Rattus norvegicus: one gene and its partners. The protein of the gene in region 4 purifies or fractionates together with the protein of the main gene of each other region. This does not show direct contact. Links are inferred from orthologs where the notes say so. Each region holds a gene or a part of one and is shown on either strand. Other genes may lie near its edges.

The links.
Region 1: the proteins of Ppp6c (region 4) and Ppp6r2 purify together in Homo sapiens (affinity purification with mass spectrometry; 9 studies listed by BioGRID and IntAct, counting the BioPlex papers as one, with this or other methods). This does not show direct contact. The link is inferred for Rattus norvegicus from reciprocal best matches to the Homo sapiens genes PPP6C and PPP6R2.
Region 2: the proteins of Ppp6c (region 4) and Ankrd44 purify together in Homo sapiens (affinity purification with mass spectrometry; 5 studies listed by BioGRID and IntAct, counting the BioPlex papers as one, with this or other methods). This does not show direct contact. The link is inferred for Rattus norvegicus from reciprocal best matches to the Homo sapiens genes PPP6C and ANKRD44.
Region 3: the proteins of Ppp6c (region 4) and Arhgef2 purify together in Homo sapiens (affinity purification with mass spectrometry; 4 studies listed by BioGRID and IntAct, with this or other methods). This does not show direct contact. The link is inferred for Rattus norvegicus from reciprocal best matches to the Homo sapiens genes PPP6C and ARHGEF2.
Region 5: the proteins of Ppp6c (region 4) and Ppp6r3 purify together in Homo sapiens (affinity purification with mass spectrometry; 10 studies listed by BioGRID and IntAct, with this or other methods). This does not show direct contact. The link is inferred for Rattus norvegicus from reciprocal best matches to the Homo sapiens genes PPP6C and PPP6R3.
Region 6: the proteins of Ppp6c (region 4) and Tiprl purify together in Homo sapiens (co-immunoprecipitation; 4 studies listed by BioGRID and IntAct, with this or other methods). This does not show direct contact. The link is inferred for Rattus norvegicus from reciprocal best matches to the Homo sapiens genes PPP6C and TIPRL.

Annotation. Positions count from the first base shown.
Region 1 is NC_086025.1:122,231,044-122,233,784, forward strand, and holds part of Ppp6r2 (serine/threonine-protein phosphatase 6 regulatory subunit 2), read left to right. Parts: intron 1-479; coding exon 480-636; intron 637-726; coding exon 727-815; intron 816-1,527; coding exon 1,528-1,723; intron 1,724-2,741. UniProt on the Homo sapiens protein: Regulatory subunit of protein phosphatase 6 (PP6). May function as a scaffolding PP6 subunit. Involved in the PP6-mediated dephosphorylation of NFKBIE opposing its degradation in response to TNF-alpha.
Region 2 is NC_086027.1:63,743,941-63,747,440, forward strand, and holds part of Ankrd44 (serine/threonine-protein phosphatase 6 regulatory ankyrin repeat subunit B), read right to left. Parts: intron 2,676-3,500; coding exon 2,463-2,675; intron 1-2,462. UniProt on the Homo sapiens protein: Putative regulatory subunit of protein phosphatase 6 (PP6) that may be involved in the recognition of phosphoprotein substrates.
Region 3 is NC_086020.1:176,405,599-176,409,098, reverse strand, and holds part of Arhgef2 (rho guanine nucleotide exchange factor 2), read right to left. Parts: intron 3,210-3,500; coding exon 3,133-3,209; intron 2,174-3,132; coding exon 2,004-2,173; intron 790-2,003; coding exon 722-789; intron 1-721. UniProt on the Homo sapiens protein: Activates Rho-GTPases by promoting the exchange of GDP for GTP.
Region 4 is NC_086021.1:43,351,308-43,354,807, reverse strand, and holds part of Ppp6c (serine/threonine-protein phosphatase 6 catalytic subunit), read left to right. Parts: intron 1-91; coding exon 92-187; intron 188-3,335; coding exon 3,336-3,401; intron 3,402-3,500.
Region 5 is NC_086019.1:210,188,310-210,191,809, forward strand, and holds part of Ppp6r3 (serine/threonine-protein phosphatase 6 regulatory subunit 3), read right to left. Parts: intron 847-3,500; 5' UTR 841-846; coding exon 614-840; intron 1-613.
Region 6 is NC_086031.1:80,061,041-80,064,540, forward strand, and holds part of Tiprl (TIP41-like protein), read right to left. Parts: intron 2,098-3,500; coding exon 2,035-2,097; intron 133-2,034; coding exon 1-132. UniProt on the Homo sapiens protein: May be a allosteric regulator of serine/threonine-protein phosphatase 2A (PP2A). Isoform 1 inhibits catalytic activity of the PP2A(D) core complex in vitro. The PP2A(C):TIPRL complex does not show phosphatase activity.

The DNA of each region.
Region 1 (2,741 bases), on a different chromosome or scaffold from region 4:
CCCACAGCAGGGGCCACCCATGCCAGCATCAAAGGGAGCAGAGAGCCTGCTATGACCTGGGTTGGGACAGGTGAGATGGTACCTACTTTGTACCATCAGCCTTCCTGGAGGCTAGACGGGGCCTTACAGTTATCTCATGAGGCACTGCCTCAGCAAACACTGACGCCCACACATGCGCTCTGTCCCAGTAGATGATTTACAAGACCCTTTCCAGGTAACTTACAGGGGCCCTTACTCCCAAGTGTTCAGGGTTGGAGGCCATACTACCCTTTGCAAAGCCCCAGTAGGCACTACTGGGGAGTGCTGCCATCCCTGTCACTTGAGACAGGGAGTGCTCTTCTGAGGACTCCTAACTGGGAGCATCTTGCATTCCTGTTCATCTCTGATGATCCTCTCCCTATCTCCGTGAGTGCTGCTTCTCCCGTGTCTGTCACATACTAGGCCTGCCTACTCCTGACTGCTGCATCTCCCTCTGGCAGGTACTACATGGACAGCAGTTTTTGATGAGCCAGTGAACCCGCTGTCTGCAGCCTCAGGAGCTGCGAGGGATGTGGGTTCTAGTGCATGGGCGGCTGGTCCTTCAGTTGCAGAGGAGAAAGGCTGGGCCAAATTCACCGACTTCCAGCCTTTCTGCTGGTAACAAACATCAGAAATGGAGTCATGCCTGTTGGGTGTCAGGACCGGCGTTGCCCAATCGGCTCAGCCTGTCCTCATCTTCTTTTATAGCTCTGAGACAGGGCCCCGGTGCAGCTCTCCTGTGGACATGGACCACAGCAATGCCGAGGGTGGCCAGAGTCCAGGCCCAGAGAAAGCCTGTGAGTAGCAGCAGCTCAGACACCTGCCTTGACTAGTTCCCAGGCCTGACGCAAGGCTAGACCCCATTGAGAAAGTGGGAAGTGGTTAAGGCCCCAGGTGTGGCTGTCTTTGTGGTGTTGGGATCCTTACATACTTGTGGGATTGGAGTTGGCATGTACTGTTCACTGTGCAATACATGAAGAGCTTTAGGGTCCTCCAGCTTTAGGGGTACAGGGCAGGGTAACATACCCACTAGGGTGCCCTCATGGCTCAGGTCTGTACCGTACAACCCACCTGCATCTTTGAGTCACATTAAGTTATGTAGATGTGTCCCTGATGGGAAGCCAACATGGGACTTGATTGAAAAGTCCTTGCTCTCATCTCCTTCCCAGGAAACTGGACTGGGTTAGAGCAGGTGAGAAGATTGACGTCTTTTCTGGGCATTAGGTTTGAAGTGGCATCTCTGACCCCTTGCTTCCTGCTCTGAGAAGAGCACACACATATCCTACTCATCCTGTGGAGCAGTGGGACAGTCCACACGGAAGCCACATACATAGCAGTCCATGTGGTTCCCGAGAGCACGCACATACACACGTCTAACACTCAGGGAGCCAACATCAGCCTCTCATCTTTCACACTGGCTCATGCAAATCCAAGGTCACTGAGGCCATGGTAGCTGTGGTCTCTGGCTCCTCTGCCCTCACAGATACCGCAGGATTTCTTCTTTTATAGTTGGTCCTACCTCGCCTTGTGCCTGGAACGTGTGTGTCACTAGGAAGGCCCCACTGGTAGCCTCTGACAGCAGCTCCTCTGGGGGATCTGACAGTGAAGATGACGAGAAGGCAGCGGGTGCTGTGGAAGCTCTGTGCGCAGGCCATACTGGAAAGGCCTCCCCGCCACCCAGGACAGCAGAGGCTGCTGCTGGCAGGTGCGAAGGGAATGCCAAGTTTTCCTGGGGGCCCTGTGAACACCGTGTGGCTTCTGAGGGCTACAAGTCACTAGCTTTGTAGCCACTGAGAACAGGGCCCAGTGGCCAGATGTCAGCTCCCTGAAAACAGGTGGAGGCCAGACTGGAACTCCTTGCTGCTGCACCATGGCTAATGATCCTGTGAGGCTGTCTCTAGAAAAGACAGTGCCTCTTTACCAAGGGGAAGGCTCAACTGGAGGGCTGGACTTGTATTTTCTGTTTTAAATGATTAAGAGTAGAAGATAGAACTTGGGTGTCCCAAGAGCTCCCCAGGAACTTGGGAGGACAGTCTCCACTAGAGGCCAGTTTCATAGAATACCTGGTTTCCAGGCTCTGGGACTGGCTAACTCTAGGGTTGTCTCAGATAGTGGGAGAAAAGTGGCCCATCACCCTTAACTTTGTATAGGGCAAGCATATGGCTCTGGCTAGCCCTTTCCTGTTGCCCTTCTTGTGCCGGGCCCTTTATGGTCGGGTACTTGTTGATTCCAGTCAGGTGCCCTGCATGCTCACACAGTAGGACGAAGCACACCTCAGGGTTGGGGACTGGGTCTGTAGTCCAAGACCTGGCTGGGAAGTAGAAGCAACTCACAGGTGGACAAGCCAGAGTCCTCCTGAGGTGTCGTCTGAAGGCCTTCCTTCCCTAGGGAAGGAACCAGGAATGTCACTATCCCCCTGCAAAGAGGCCAGCCACTCCAGCAAGCGTTTCTATTTTGAGTGGTCAAGATGAGAAGATACAGGACCGAGGTGTCGAGGAGCTACCCAGTGACTCTCACATAACTAAGCCCATGTTCACCAGGGAGTTCACAGCCCTGACATTCAGGTGCAGAGAGCAGGTGGGGGGGCTCAGGAGCATAAGGCGTAGCCTGTGGATACAGGATACTGGAAATGGCTTGCAGCCCGTACAAACGCTCTGAGGCTCCACATAAGTTCAGGGTGCAATAGAAGTCTCAGGGCTGGACCCTACCAGGAGACAAGGTAC
Region 2 (3,500 bases), on a different chromosome or scaffold from region 4:
GGTTTTAAACCCCCTGGATTTATGTACTAGAAACCAAAACCAAGTACTTTGCAAGACTGTCAAGAGCTATTGACTGCTGAGCCATTTCTCCAGCTCCTCTAGTCCATGGGAAAGGAGACAGGCTGACCACATAACCCCTACAGGGCACATCCATTATCTGATTTGAGCACTGGGCAGCCAATTGGAAGAAGCAGGCAGGCAGGCTGAAGGAGGTGTGTTTGGGCATCAAAGCACTAGGGTGCATTTTGTGGGGTGTGGGGAATATTAGACAACTCGTGAGTTAACTAAGTGGACGGTCACAAAGATACTGCTTTTATCTAATGCCCATTATCCTCCTTAGTTTTAAAGACCCACTAATGCTCTCGTGAGCTTCTTGTGTCTCCTTGGTCTCCTCCTTGCTTTAATGCCTTCTCACCTCTTCCTGAGACCCTGTATGGGCTCCATATATAGAATGTGGGGCTCTGAATCACTATTCATTGGTTCTATTTTTCTCTTTCCACAAGCCTCAGACCTTCATGAAGATATTACACTCCTTCAGTTCTTTCTACCCTTTCCTAACTCTTTCTCATCCTGTGCTCTGTGTCTTTTTTCTCCTCCAGTCTTCCCTCAGCCTCTCCAGTCATACTGTTATATACTCTCTCCTTGGATGGCAACCAACCCTTCCTGTCACCTTTATGTGACTGAAGCAATCTAAGAACTATTTTTTCATATCTTTATTGCCCTTCTATGCTAAAACATCACATTTTCTACCACTGTGTCCCCAACCTGGCTCAACATGAGTTTCTCAAAACTTAGACACAGAACCTGTGAGATGGCTCAGTGGGTAAGGAAGGGTATTCACTGCCAACTCAGGGTACTCAAGTTCGATTCTCATAACCCACATAATACAAGAAGAGAACTAACTCCTTGCAAGTTGTCCTCTGACACCCACATGCATGTGTGCTATAGCACATATACTGTACCCACACACAAAATAAATAAGAGTCAGCTTGCCTCCTATGCCACTCTAGCTCCTGCCATCCTCTTAGTGAATGGGAACAATATCAAGTGCTTACTGTATGACAGCTCTGAGCTGTACAATTAGGTATGACAACCGTGCTTAATCTTCACAACATGCCCACGAAGAAGATGCTATTATTTCCCTTATTTTACAAGACATAGGTCATTTTTAGTTAAGGCAGTCTGGCCTCAGAACAAAGATGTGTCCATTCTATAGTGTCACGCCCCTTCCAAGATTCCATTCCTCATCTTCAGGTCCTACCCCTTGTCTTGCCAACCTTTGATAATTCTCCCTCCGATAGGCTTCTCCCTTGAGTGGCCCCTCCCACTCCTCATTGGCCCCTCCCACTCCTCGGCCTGACTCATTACCTACCTCAGTTTCACTAACTGCCAGTTATTTTGAAGCCATCCCATTTGTAGGTCTGCTGTAGCTACCTTTCTTCCTCCTCAGAATGAAAAATGCTTTCTTTTGAATTTAAAAATAACATGGCCACAGAACAGAGAGACTGTAAGAAAAACTGTAAAATATCTAATGGTAAATAGAGGTTCTAAAATATCTTGAATTAAACTTAGTCCTGAAATTAAACTTTTGAAACCATGACTTTTCAACATAGACACGGAAGATCCTGAAACTGTGCTCTAAGGGTCCCGAATGCAAGCAGGAAGGAAAAGTCACCAATTCGCACACAGCTTCTCTTATCCACGGCTCGTGCACACTATTCTCTGTTGGGAATGCCCTCTCCCGAATTATTTCTGTGGCTCCTCTCAAATACTCTGCTCAAAAACAAACTCCTTTCTTTTTTTTAATCCCCAAACAATAGACAAGCCAATATGTGCGTCATCTACTTCGCAAAGTTTTACTCCTCTTCTTCTCTTGGCACTCATCACGTTTTGCCTCAAGTGCCTGAGTGGGTTTTATCTCCTGTATTGTGAATCAGTAATGGCCAGGGATCTCATCTCATGTTTGGATTTTCCTCTGCTGTCAAACTAAGAGCAGGGCAGTCCTTAAGCAACTCCGTGGCTGATGGAGTGCTCGCCACTATCTGGTCAATGATCCTTCACCAAAGAACAGCTTGCTGAAGAAAACCATTTGAAGGGCATGCTGGGATTGGGAACAGTCATGAGTTAGTCCTTCCTCTGTCTTCTCAGCAGCTCTCCCCGCTCAGCTAACTGTGCTATACTAAAATATAGGCTGAGTTAGCGCCTTCAAGGCCTGATATTCATCCTGGAGCATTCATTAATCCACAAAGGAGATACGACTGGAGACTTGGTGCCTGCCTACATGCTGATACCATCATGCCCAGAGAGGCAACCTAGCTGTTTCCATAGCATTTCCATCCAGGATAAGGCTACGTGAATCGAAGCGCTTCCGATTCAGGAAAACACAGCAAAACTGACAGTAGTTAGGTTGGCTCAAAGGCTCGGTGCAAAGGTGTTTAAGGCAGAGAGATGGAGTGTCATACCTGAATGTTCACATCGGCCCCATTGTTGACTAACAGTTCCAGACACAGAGCACCGTGAGTAGACGCCGCTGCAAAGTGCAGAGGGGTGAAGCCACTGTTGTTAGGCTGGTTCACGTTAGCGCCGTAGTCGATCAGCTCATTAACGACAGCATCCTGGCCATTGTAGCAGGCAATGTGAAGTGCTGTGTTTCCATAGACATTGATTTCATCAATCTGCAAAGCACCCAACAAGGGAAATTAAAATCACTGAAGCCAATTTACTCCATTCGCCACAAAGGCGAGAGAAAAGAAATATCCACCTATCAATGTAATTATTCAGAGCTCACTTGCTCCCCAATGGGTTATCCTGAGAACGCCTGTATCCTCAACCCCCTGCCCTCCTGGGGAAAAAGAATCAAAATTGAATATGATCCCCCCCCCAAAAAAACATAGCCCAAGGTTATTAGAGGCTTCAGCCTGTGGAGGGGTTTATCCAGACGGAGACGGATAAATACAGTGGAAAGCAAAGAGACTTTCGCAATGCTAGAGAAGTAAAGGACAAACCCCAACTCAGGGCTTGGGAACTGTGACCATGAAGAGAGAAGACGGGTAGCAAGACAGTGGCTTGTGGGCCCTGTGCCCTTGAGTCAGGCTCAGAATCAATTCTGCCTTCACGCTGGAGCCTGACACCTCAGGAGCGAATCTTCCTGCAGAGCTGAGGTGTGTTATAGTCCATGGCTCCCTGTTCTTTCCCAGACCTGCTCAAGGATCTGGATGTTAGCATCTTGGTTTCAGACCACACTTGACTCTCCTTTCCTCCAGGGGTAAGACGCCCTGAGCATTACTGCTCCCAGGTGAAGAAGAAGAGGGCTGGCCGACAGTTCAAGCTCACCATCGCCGTTCCTTACTCAACCCCCACCATCCATTTACTCCCCCCTGCTGTGAGCCTCACCTTCCAAGGTGCAATTCTGACTAGGCCTTTAAAATGACTGATCATTACATATTACACCAAATATAAATGTTAGCCGGGAGGTGGCGGTGCATGAGGCCAGCCTGGTC
Region 3 (3,500 bases), on a different chromosome or scaffold from region 4:
GTTTTCCGAGATAGGGTTTCTCTATGTGAATAGCCCTGGCTGTCCTAAAACTAGATTTACAGATCATTTTAGCCTTGAACTCACAGAGATCATTCTACCTCTGCCTCCCAAGTGCTGGGATTAAAATCGTGGGCCACCAAGCCCAGCAGTAACCTTTATTTTTAATCATATGGGTGTTCTGCCCACATATATGTCTATATACTGTGTACATCTGTGCACCATGTGCAGGCAGTGCCCTCAGAGGCCACAAGGGGACACTAGATGCCCTTGGGACAGAGAGATAGTAGTCTATTTTACATATACCAACACGCGCGCGCGCGCACACACACACACACACACACACACCCCAATACACTTCACATTGTTTTAAACCCAGCTCTTTTTCATGTTTATTTTGGACAGACTCTCAGCTCACATGAAGCTTTCACTTTCCCTGAGATCATTTTATTCTGTGTGAGTTTTGCCTGCTCATAGGTATGTTCATCATGCATGTGCCTGTGAATGAGGTGGCCCAGGGCATCAGAGATCCACTGCACTGGAGTTAAACGATTGGGAGTCACCAGGCTGGTGAGAATCAAACCTGAGCCCTCCGATGGAGAAACCATTGCTTTCAACCTGTGAGTCATCTCTCCAGTCCCTTTTTGAGCCAGCCTTTCTGAGAGCAGCATGGTATTTTGTGTGGATACGGTATAGATCAGCCCACTCCCTGGAGGGAACTTACTCTTGATCCTCCGGAGGTACGCCTTATCCTCTGTCTCGATCAGAGGGAAGTCCTCCCTCGACGGGCATCTGCAGAGCGACAGGCAGGTTGGTTTGTGGGAGACACTAACAGTCAGCGTTCTCTCCTTTGCACATGACCCTCCTCTCATACCGTGGCTTTAGTCCCTCTTGGCACCAATCCTCATCTCTCTAACTCAGGCTTACAAAGGATATAAAAAGCCTGCATCCACCTCTAGCTCTGGTCGCATCATCGGGAGAGCCATTTTGTCAACTTTTGTTATTGTTGCCAACTTCTGACTCTCTGTGGGTTGCAGCATTGATGTATGTGGTGCTGGGGGAGGGGCCCAGGGCTTCCAGAATGCTAGACAAGCACTCTAACAATTGAGCTACAGCACTAACTGTGTGTTGGGTTTTGGTTTGGTTTGGTTTGGTTTGGGTTTTTGGACAGGGTTTCTCCTGTAGTCCTGACTATCCTGGAACTCACTCTGTAGACCAGGCTGGCTTCGAACGCAAGAGATCCACTTGCCTCTGCCTCCCCAGTGCTGAAATTAAAGGTGTGCACTACCACTGCTGGGCCTATTGTAGTTTTTAAGACAGGGCCTCAGCCCAAGCTGGTCCTGAGCTCCTCATGCATTAAGGTTGGCCTTTAACTCTGAATCCTTCTGCCTCCACTTCCCAGGCATTGGGAATATAGGTGTTAATGCCACACCAGGCTGTCCTCAACATTTTGGATAAAACGTGTTCAATTCACTAACATCAATGCTTCAATCACCCCCATTCTTTCATTTTTAGAAAGTAGAGGTAAGGGCTGGAGAGATGGCTCAGCGGTTAAGAGTACCCGACTACTCTTCCAGAGGTTCTGAGTTCAATTCCCAGCAACCACATGGTGGCTCACAACCATCTGTAAAGAGATCTGATGCCCTCTTCTGGTGTGTCTGAAGACAGTGACAGTGTACTTATATGTAATAAATGAATAAATCTTAAAAAAAAAAAAAACTAGAGCCTTCTTCCTACTGCCAGTGATGTATGAGGCTGGCACTATGTCACTGGCTGGCAAGTCTGCCACCACCAAAGAGCTCTACACAAACCGTTGTCAGTTCAGAGTGCTTTGGAGGGATAGCTGGGTTATCTGGATATAAATTACAACTTTTCATGTGATTTCTCTTATCTTGACTCATCTTGTCTATTCCCAGCTTCTGCCCCAACCTCTCATGATGAGTTAAGTCCCCGGAAGTATTCCACCTAGGACTGGAAGCCGTATGTACACGCAGGCACACACTCACAAGCGCACGCTCTGCTGGATGACACGGATCCAGGTAGTACGGTCATCTCGAGATGCTGCGTGTACTTCATACATTTCAGGTGGGCCAGAACTGATCAGAAACATCCCTTTCGCCTGGTTGGCAATGTCTCTTACGATGAGATTCTGCAAGGATACCACTGAGGGCTTGTCCTGTCGGGGAAAAGGGAAGAATTCAGCCAAGGCACCCTAACCCTTAATATCTGGGTTTCAGTTCTAGAATACCAAAAGGATTGAACATGGTGATACATAACCAAAACCCTAGGCATCAGTACCAGCCAGGACAATTTAGATGTGCGTGTGGGTCCCTTGATACATTCTCTGTCCCTCCTTCCCTCCAACTTCTTCCCTTCCTCCCTTCTTCCCCGCCCCCTCTCTTCTGGGTCTCACTATGTAACCTAAACTGGGGTTGAACTCACTATGTGGCCCCGAACAGCCTCAACGTTGTGACCCTTGGGCCTCTGCTCTCCCAGCACTGGGGCTTGTGCCTGCTTTACTTTTGCTGTAGTTGCTGTTTTTGAGATAAGGTCTCACTCTATGACCCTGATGGGCTTGGAACTTGCTATGTAGACAAGGCTGGCTTAAACTCAGAGATCTACCTATCTCTGCCTCCCAAGGGTGGGGTGAAAGGTCTACTCTACTGTTCCAATGGTAAATTTACTTACTTATTTAGTTATTTTTTAGATGTGGGGGGTCTCATGTCGTCTAGGCTGGACTTTGAACTCACCGTGTGGTTCATGACCCTGCACTCCTGATCCTCCTGTCGCTAACTCCCAAGAGCTGACATTACAGGCATGGACCGCCAGGCACTAAACTTTACCTTCGTCATCCACAAAACGAAGTTAATGACAGCTTCCCTGACGGGGCAAACCTGCCCGAGCACAGCAGCGGGACCTGGCGGCTATCTCACGTTTCTTCTTTTTTCTTCTCTCTCTTTTTTTCCCAGAGCTGAGGACTGAACCCAGGGCCTTGTGCTTGCTAGCAAGCGCTCTCTACCACTGAGCTAAATACCCAACCTCCTCACTTTTTTTTTTACATAGATAGGGATTGGACTCAGCAAGACTTTCTTGGGCTGGGTAAGAAAATGGATGAGAGAACAGAGGAAGGCTCACCAGGGACGTGAAAATGTACTTCTGGTCCTTTTCCTGGAGAAACACCAGCACATCTGTCATCAGTAGTAAGAGGACATCTGGCCAAGACACAAAGTGGGAAAATGGTCAGCACTGAAGGCTCAAAGCAACTGTTTGCCCCCTCTCCGAGGACCAGGCACACCCCCACTGGGTTCCCCCCAACCCCCGCAATTGCTTCATCTTTTCTGACCTCTGACCTCCAACCTCACCATTTTTTTTCCCCAGAGCTGGCTAAATCCCCAACCCCAACCTCACCATTCTTTTGTTTTTCCTTCAATATTTCAAGACAAGGTTTCTCTGTGTAGCCCTGGCTGTCCTAGAACTCACTCTGTAGATCAGGCTGGCCTCTA
Region 4 (3,500 bases):
TTGGTTTGATTTGCTTGTTTTGTTTTGTTTTTTACCTTTATTTTTAAAACTTGTTGTAAAACTTGGCATTTTCTTTCCTTTCTCCTTTCAGCGGCTATGTGACTATGTTTGTGATCTGCTCTTGGAAGAGTCGAATGTTCAGCCTGTATCAACGCCAGTAACAGTGTGCGGGGACATACATGGACAGGTAAATTTCGCAAGGAAGTTTTAGTGTTTGTACTGCCAGTGATCCATTTGTTTCTAACTTGTGCTGCAAAATAAACAAAACAAAACCCAACTGGCGATTAGGTGGTGTGAGTCTTCATGCCATGAGTGGTTTTTGGTTCACTGGCAAATAAAAGCAGTGGTCAAATACGTCATAACCTTTTTCTGAATTCCACTTGTAAAGTATATAGATTGCTGTGTTGTTCTGTGGAACAGTGTGGGGCATTCTGTGAAGGTGGAAGACGCAAAATATAAGATAAACACTAATGGTAATTACAGTTAACATGAAATGGTTGGATTTTAAGCACTTTCTTGTTCATTCAATTATGTCTTATTAAAATCTGCTAATTTCTTTGCTGAGAATGAGAATAGCAAAGGTTCAGAAGAGAAATATTGCATAATTTTATAGCAAGTCACTGGTAGAATGAGATGAAAGCGATTTAGTTCATTTTTTTTCCATTGGGACTGTAGGATCTGAAATACCTGCTAAAATTTTTTCATTTTTTTTAACTTTAAATTTTATTATTTTAATTGGGTGTGTTGTGTACTGTAATGTGCATGTGTGTGCAGGTGTGCTTTGAGGCCAAAGGAGTTGGATCTCCTGGCAAGGGAATTACAGATGGTAGTGAGCCACCTAATATAGGTGCCAATAATTAAACACTGGTCCAGGAAGAGCAGCACACGCTATTAACTGAGCCATCTCTTCAGCCACCACCTGCTGCCTTTGTCTGTTTATAAGAATTCTAACTCACGGACTAGAGATTACAGTTTGACATTAGAGCCTACTGATAGTGTTCTAACACTACCTGACTGGAGAAGTTCCTCACTGGGAACTAAAGGCTGAGGAGTTTACTCATACCCTGCTGTGGACATACTTTATAATTGGGACAGTAGGACCTGGAATATGTTCCTAACAGTCACTCTACCATTCAACTGACTGACTGCCAGTTCCCTTCCTAATGTGATGGTGTAAAGGGAGAAAATGTGTCTAATTTGTTCCTGAATAGAGGCTGCTTCATAAATAAAAAAACAGTTTAGCTACCTTAAACGCTATTTCCTTTTTGCTTTTTCAAACACTTTTTTAGACAGTGACAGTCCTGCCTCAGCTGCCTAAGTACTAGGATCATAAGTAGGAGCTTCTTCTGTTTGTATTTTGGCTTGTCTGTTTGTTTGTTTGTTTGTTTGTTTGTTTGTTTTTATGTGTATGGGTATTTTTTCTGTATGCCTGATGCCTATGGAGGCTGAAAGAGGGCATGGGATTTCTTAGAACTGGAGTCTGGCATTACAGATAGTCGTTAGCTGCAGTACAGGTGCTAGGAACCAAAGCCAGGTCTCCTGAAAGAGCAGCCTGTGCTCTTAACTGCCGAGTCATCTCTCCAGCCCCTCTTTTGGTTTTTTGAGGCCTGAAACTTGGTATCCTTCTACCTCAGCTTATTAGTGGTAGCATAACAGGTGTGTGCCACCATACCATATGACCAAGACTTTTTAATATGTAAAAAATAAATATGAAATTGCAGTCTTTAATTTCAGGATCAAGTTATGAGTTTAAATTAATGTATTGGCAATAACGTGGTGATGAGAAACATTGGCATTATGATTAGGGAATAGATTATATACTTCAAAAAAATGTGGATTGGGCCATATACCGGCTACCTAAGCTACCTGAGCTTGCACACAGATTCTCTAAACGGGGCCTCCGGACCTTGCAAGTGGTAAAAGCAGGAGAGAGAGAGAGAGAGAGAGAGAGAGAGAGAGAGAGAGAGAGAGAGAGAGAGAGAGAGAGAGAGAGAAACTTCTAGTGCACAGGGTATGATGGTGCATACTTTTAATCCAAGTTTTGGGTCTGCCTGGTCTACATAGTGAATTCTAGTACAGATAATGGCTATGTAGAGAGACCCTGCCTCAAAGAACCAAAAGAAACAAAAAATCTTCTTGTGCTTTACTGTGACTAAGGGGAGTGACTCCAGTTTTGCTTAAGATTGTCCTCACTCAAGCAGCAAATATTATTAGGACCTCTTGGTGTGGAGGATACGCAGCTCTGTGCTCTGCTGTGGAATGCGAAACATCCCAGAGATAAGTTTTCCTCAAGGAAAAGTGTTCTTGGCTACTTTGAATCATGAGTTAAAAAAAACTGATACGACTTGCTCAGAGGAAAAGGAGGAGTATGAGGGAAGAGTTGTAGGAGAGGGTGATCAGAAGGGGGGCAGTGAGCAGGATGTAAAATGATAAATAAAATTTCTAAAGCTGCTTTTCTTTTGAGAGAAAAGTGACAAACTGGTTACTTAGACTTAGATATTGTAAAGATGAAGGAGGTAAACTAGTAATTTTAAAGGAAACAGTTGCTAGTGACAATATTTGAGTTTACTAATGAAAATTTTGGATTTGGGAAAGTTTCAGTTTAATCATGAACCTAACTTTTATTTTCTTAATACGGGGTCTCACTATATAGCTCCAGCTGGCCTTGAACTCACTATGTATGTAAACCAGGCTTGCTTAAAACTCCATCCATCCTTGCCTCTCAAGGACTAGGATTAAAGAAATGCCTGAAAGTTTCTGATACTTTTTAAAGACTTTTCTGATAAGTGATGATGTTAGCAAATATTTAATGACATATAAAGAAGTATCATTTCATACTCCTAATGACCAGTATATCATTTACTCAAAGCAGGTGGCAGTAGTCTGACCATATTGTGGTATGGTGTTATATTCATTCTAATATGATTTTAGATTTTATATTGTGAATTAATCTTTATTTGTCTTGTTGGATTTTGACATAGTATTTGAAATAAAGTATGCATTATTATATGAGAATGCTAACAAACACTGCTCCTCTTGGTGAAGCAGAGGCAGGAATTGCAAAATTCAAGGCTAACCTAGATCCAAGTTCTCTGGCAAAGCAGCCAATGCTTTTAACCTCTGAGCTACCTCTCCAGTTTCTACCAATTTGTTTTTACCTTCATGCTTTTTAGGTTTAGGAATTAGATTCTTGGCAGTTTTGCATATACACTATTTCTTCTTTCAAATGTAAATATTTGAAATCTATTAAACTGTTTCTATACATGTCTTATTCTCAATTTATCTTACTCATTCACAGGAATTTGTAATTAGCATATATTGATTTTCTTTTACAGTTTTATGATCTTTGCGAACTGTTCAGAACTGGAGGTCAGGTTCCTGACACAAACTACATATTTATGGTATGTAAATGCTGGTAATGCCAGGTGCTTCTTTAAAATAAAAGGTCCTGACTTATTACATGCAAGTTCTATAATTGCTATTTAAATGTATGAAAAGGT
Region 5 (3,500 bases), on a different chromosome or scaffold from region 4:
TTCATCCAACCTCTAAGTTAAAAGACATTTTCTACTTTGTCTAAAAAATTGCCTTTAAATCAATTGTTTGTAAGAATTTGTTTCTGGGCTAGAGAGATGACTCAGAGGTTAAGAGCAATGGATGCTCTTCCAGAGGTCCTGAGTTCAAGTTCCAGCAACCACATGGCTTACAACCCACTCTGTTTTATTATGTCATTTCCTACTTAAATATAGCTTCACCGCTATTCACCAAGACCCACGCAACTCACACCTAAAACTCATGCGAGGAAGGGCTGACCTTACTATCTGAGCAATGATGTGACTAAACCTTTAGACAATCTTGGCCCGTCATAGACTTCTGGCTTCCTATCTGGAAAGTAGAGAAGACACTTACTTGAATGTCTAACTAATATGAGAAGTTTGTCTATTATAAAGCATGTTGTACGTCTGGAGAAGATTCAGAACATTTTAGATGCTTGTGACTCACTGTTGTTGGCTCTAGAATCAATTGTGTGCTCCATAACTGTGTAGCTCTTGACCATCTTGTCCATAGTTCATAGTGGCTCTAGGGAATTCTTAAACATCAAATAATCATTTTCTACCCCACCCTAAGGCAAAGACGTCATTTTCTTACTTGTATCGGATCTTTTCATCCATGTCTTGAGGTGGCTCTTCTATAATGAATGAGACTAAGTCTTCCAGACATTCTGCTTTTAACAGAAACTCTATGAGCTTTCGGTTCTGTGCTTTACATTCCTGTAAAACGTCCTCCTCGTCCATTAGCTCCTTCAGTGTTACATCTTCTCTCTCTAGAAGCGTGTCTATGTGGGATGATGAGTGAAGATCAAATTTCCAAAACATGCTGTTCTAAACGAGACAAAGAAAGATTTTCATAAAATTCAGGCTTTACTAATTTTCCACAAACCAAATTTCAGTTCAATTTTGATCTACAATGCCAACTTGGCATTGACACAAAAATAAAGCAGTTTCACACTTAACTTGCAAAATGATTTAATGAATAACACTAGTAGGATTTTTTTCTTTCTTAGAAAAAAATTTTAAAGAATTTATTTATTGGCTTTCTTTTTAGACTTTTTAAAAACTTTATTCACTTTTATTTATATGTGCATGACCTGCACGGAATGGTCCTGGAAGCCAGAAGAGGCTGGTAGATTCTCTAGGACTGGAGTTAACAGATATTTGTAAGCCACAAATGGGGCTGGGAATCGAAATTAGATGCTATCACTCCATCCCAGAAAATATTTTCAGTTGGCTAAAATGTTGAAAATGCTGAATACAAAAGTTTGGAATGATTTTAACCTGTAAAAGCATTTCATCCAAGTCAGCCTGGCACATACCCAAAACTCTTAAATTTTCAAGAGTGAGACAGGATGATCACAAGTTCTTGGCCAGCCTGAGCCACACAGCAAGAATCTGTCATCCCCCACCCTCCCCCGTCAATAAAAGTAAGAGGAAAAGAAGTAATTCATTCATACTTTAAGAATTTTTATGCTGGCTAGACACAGTGGCCTGCATCTTTAATCCCATCATTCTAGAGAAAGATTTGAGAGGATCTCTGTGTATTTGAGGACAGCCTGGTCTACATAGTCATCACCAGGATTCTATACAGACGCCCTGTCTCAAAAAAACAAAACAAACAAAAAGAATGCTGAAGGAGGATATCATGGCTCAGCAGGAAAAGGAGCTTGCTGACAAGTCTGAACACTAGAATTCGATCACCAAACTCCAGGGTGGAACGAGCTAGATTTTCCAAGTTGTCTTCTGACCTCTACAAGCATGTTGCCCATTAATTTAAAAAAAAATTTTAAGCAAAAATATTTCATACCTCAAATTCTACCACTTGGAGGGCTAAAGCAAGAAAATTACTGCATGTTCAAGTCTAGTCTGGTCTAAAAGAGAAAAACTGGAGGGGGAGGGGGAGAGGGAAGAGGAGAAAGCAGGCAGGCAGGGAGACTGAGAAACAGACAGAGACAGATAAAGATCAAGAATGACAGCAACTTGGGGTTGGGGATTTAGCTCAGTGGTAGAGCGCTTGCCTAGCAAGCGCAAGGTCCTGGGTTCGGTCCCCAGCTCCGAAAAAAAAAAAAAAAAGAAAAGGGGGAAAAAAAAAAAGAATCACGGCAACTCTTTTTTTTTTTTTTTTTGAAGGATGAAGAATAGATTCTTCAGAGAATTGCCATCTTCAACAACAAATGAGAATGAAGAGGCATAGCCAGAGCTTCCCTTATAACAGAGGAATACCACTGTAAAGCTGCAGGTGACTTCCCTTATAACAGAGGAATATCACTGTAAAGCTGCAGGTGACTTCACTAATAGCTAAAAGTCATAGAGTACCAGAAAAGAACTAAACTTTACAACTTCAAGAATTAAGACAAACTTACTATCCTAAGTCACTAAGAGAAACAGCTGACAGTCAACCCCCAACAATACTATAGTCTTTCCTCAACTTGGTCTCCATGCCTACAACCATGAAATGCTTGTTCTTCAAGTCACAGAGCCAAAAAGGCATTCGTTTGTTACGTATGGAATGTGGAAGAGGTCTCACAGGCCACTTCTAACCAGAAGGTAATAACAAGATGCAGCCATCCAGCACCAGGTCTCTGCAGCAACAGAACCAATCAGTCCAGGTATGCTAGCCTCTGAAGGGGTCAGAGACTTCCTTGAGAGTTGAGGCACAAGGCTACCATGTGCTCAAACAAAAGCTCTCCATCAGCTACAGCTTAGCCACCCACCCAGTCAAGTGCATCCTGGAAGGACTACCACCAGAAAAGCTCACCAATATCTACATGTTTTTACAAGCAAAAGGAAAGGTCCTACCTATGTAAAGCGGACCTACCTTTATACCTGTATGTTTTGCTAAATCACCCATACTTGATGTTCTCAAAATCACTTTCTTAAAGTAGAAAATTTAGGAAAGGGTGATGGCACTTAGTGATCCTAGCGCTAAGGAGGCAGAGATGAGTGGATCTCAGTTTGAGACCAACTTGGTCTACAGAGTGAATTCTCATGACAGTCAGGGTTAGACAGAGGAACCCTGTCTGGGAAAAAAAACACAAACAAGTAATAAAATAAATATAGAGGAATTACAGAGGCAAACTTTACTCATGCTCCTAGTCAAAGTGACTGACTGACCCAAAAATGAGAGCTGAAAAGCAGACTGTGCACAGTGGGTTGTTCCAAGGAGCGTCCCCTTCACATGGCAGGTGCTGAGCCTGACTCTCCAACAAGCAACCTCATTAAGAAAAGTTCAAGAAACCTTAGGGAACAGTTTCATAAAGCAATACTGCTAAGTGTCAACTATCACCAAAGTCAGTTTATAACACCTTTACATGCTCTCAAGGACACTGGCAAATCTGCTCACAATCTTGAGCTGCAAGAAGACTAAGAGCCAAGGAAGGACAAACAGCAGCTGCTCGGTTCACATGACCCAAATTCACACTCCTCACTTGAAAAGGATACATGAGGGGTGGGGAAGCAAACAACACAGCTCCACCGGGAGG
Region 6 (3,500 bases), on a different chromosome or scaffold from region 4:
GGGCGCACTTTCTGAGTCCACGGGGTTAGGATCAATTCTTTCTGGAAATACTAGCTTCTCACAAACTGCTTCCTTAATTGGTAAATATTGTGATATTTCATTAGGTTCCGTGAAGAGGGAAGGTGGAACATGCTAGGAAAAACATAAAATCTTATTAGTATATTCTCAGTTGTGGCTCAGACAATTTCTGAAATTCTCTAGTATAAGCATTCACAAAGCATGCTAATTTCAAAACTGGGAAAATCACATCCATGTAAGAAGCATCATTACGTGTTCCCCTAAGTAACAGTATTTCCCATTACTGAATCATTCAACTGTGTTGTTGATCTTCAAGAGACCTGGTGTTACATGATTCACGGTGCTACTGTAAGTGCTGAGAGAATCCTACACATTTTGATCAAATCCCTCCCTAGTTCTGTTACTTGAGTAACTTGAAAGTCAAATCTTCAGTTAGAGCCCAGAGCATACTGTGTGAGTTACTGAGTAACTATTCTAACCCAAGCATACTCCATATTCAGACAGAATAAGTACTATGGCTAGAAAAATACTTATTTTGTAGAAAGGTACTAAGCCACTCAATTACAAAACCCAAGTACCCGGAAAAGGCTTCACACATTCCAGGGGAGCAAAAAATACAGGAAAATTATGCCAGAATACACAGACCCTGGTACAGAATGACCAGTTTTTGGAAGAAAAAAGAATGTGTAAAAACATATACATACAAATAACATTATAGAGTAAGTAGGATGTGTCTAAGTGTTTAGAATGTACATGCACAACAATTATGGAAGAAAACGAGACCATGAATTTGAAGATTAAGGTACAGCATGGGAGGCCTTGGAGGGGAAAGAGGAAACGTATGAACTATAGTATAATCTCAAAAAATGAAAAAATTAAATAAACATTCTAGAATGTCAAGGTGCTAAGTCAGAGGACCATCCACAGCACCAGCTGCAGCAATGGGACTCACGTCAGCCCTCTGCATCTCAGTTTCTCCCCAATCAGCAGTGGGACTCAGACAATGACAGCAAAGATCTCTAGGCGCCCTGGCGCTTGAGGCAAGCTCAGAAGAGATGCCCTCCAACAGACACTCCCTCCAGAGTGCAAGATAAGTTTGCTTTGGTAGGAGTAAAAGGACCTGGTCCCCACGGCTGGAACAGGGCACGTGACTCGTCTGTTTAACAATGTACACATTTTCACAGTCCTCCCTCGAGGAATGAACTCCCCGTTAACATTAATGACTTTCTGAGTCCATGAGGTGAAGGTGTAGCTAATGTCTCAGCAAAATGGTAAACGCTGGGATCTTCATCAAGAACTCTGAAAACATAAGTTCAAAAATATATAATATCTCAACTATGTAAAATACAAGGATGACATATAATTTATATGAGGGGCTTCACAAATCTAAAGGAACAAAAGCAGCTATGCTGTGAGCCAAGTTGTCAGAAAGATACAAGAAAGGAGATAAAGTGATTTAGGGAGTGGTGAGCGAAGGAGATCCTACCCAGCTACTTACAAAGGCAGACAGATTCCTGAGTTCAAGGTCAGCTTGGGACGGAAAGAATTTAGGTCCAGGCCCCACCCAGCTAGTTTATCTCTGTGCTTAACCAAAGGAGACAGATCTCTGAACTCTTCTGTGATGTTAAAAAAAAGAAAACCGTGTATGCTGGCTGTCTCTTAAGAATCAAGGGTCCTGGGGTACAGATCCATAGGATAATCAAAAGGGAACCTAGGGTAATGACTGAATTGATATTATAAACTGGGCATTTGATCATCAAGAGATGAGCCATCCAGAGATGGTTTTAGACCTGCAAGCAAAACCTGTCTAGAGCACAGCATAGGTTGTCAACTTGTACCTGCAATTTGACTTCCAGATGTTTGTTTCCCTGCTCTCAGACACTACTTCTCTAAGAACAAGCAGAGGATGGTCCTTGGCACACATGTTCTGATGCAAATTTAGATGAATGGGTGATACCAGACTTAAAATGAATTATTAGAATTCAAAATCTAAACACTTAAAATTTAAGTATTTACCATTAAATTAGCAATTTTGCTCTCTCTGGATGTATATTCTCGTAACATGTAGGTCTTGTCAGCCTATATTAAAAAAAAATCACAATATATTTTTATTTATTTATTTTACAGAATCCTCTGTATAAAACAAACTAAAAACAAGCAAACAAACGAAAAACCCCACCCTTCTGTACAGTTTTCCATCTTGTTTTGTTTTGTTTTGTTTTGTTTTGTGAGACAGGGTAGCCTGGGTAGCCCTGGCTGTCCTGGAACTTACTCTGTAGACCAGGCTAGCCTCAAACTCAGCCATTTAAAACTTAAGGTTAGGGGGTTGGGGATTTAGCTCAGTGGTAGAGCCCTTGCCTAGGAAGCGCAAGGCCCTGGGTTCAATCCCCAGCTCCGAAAAAAAAGAACCAAAAAAAAAAAAAAAAAAAAAAAAAAAGACTTAAGGTTAGGTTAAAAGAAGGCATGGTGGTAAATGCCTTTAATCCCAGCACACTAGGAAGGCAGAGGCAGGCAGATTTCTGTGAGTTCTAGGCCAACCTGGTCTGCACAGTAAGTGCTAAGATAGCCAGAGACATTAAAACAAGGAAGGAAGGAAGGAAGGAAGGAAGGAAGGAAGGAAGGAAGGAAGGAAGGAAAAAGAGAGAGAAGAAAAACAAAAGAAAGGCAGACAGAAAGAAAAGTGCAATTTATTACAATTTGCTTTTTGGATAAATACAGTTTAAAAAAACTAAAAAATTCTATTTCTTTAAGGTTGCAGTCTTTTTTATACCAATAAGAAACAAGAAAAAAATTAATGTTCACCATAGTCAATAACAGAAAAGTATAAATAAGAAAAATAAGTTATCAATCATAGCAGTTCTGGTAACACAGCCTTACTCATTTCAAAACCTCTACATCAGATCTTAAGTTCATACTACACTTTAAAAATTCAACCGTAAGACAATCAACTTTCCAAATTAGCTCAATTCTATTTCCTACCATCAATGTTGATGGGTGTCTATTTTTCTGCTACTACTATATGGATATAAAGAAATCAATCAAATTTATTAAGTTCCTCCATGTTATATAAACAATACTGCTATGAATGTTCAAGTATATACAACTCTGATCAACCACATGATATTTATAAATTACTGCATATTTTAGGAAAAAATTATTAAAAATAGAATTAAGTATAAACAGTATTTTTGAGACTTAGATTAGAGAAAAATGTAATACTTTGGTTTTGCTTATACAAAGGGAAAAGGCTAGCAGGTGTGGTAAGGAGTGCCTCTAACCTCAGCAAAGGAAGGTGGTTCTCCGAGACCAGCCTGATTGAAAGACTAAGTTCTAGAACAGCCAGGGCTACATAACAAATAGGACAGGGAAGGGGAGGGGGGGAGAATAATCACAGCCACTGTGTTGTTTCAAGGAGACAACAAATGTCTAAATAAAGGATTTGGGGGGAAATGTCAATCTAACCCAATCCAACCAGGTTCAAA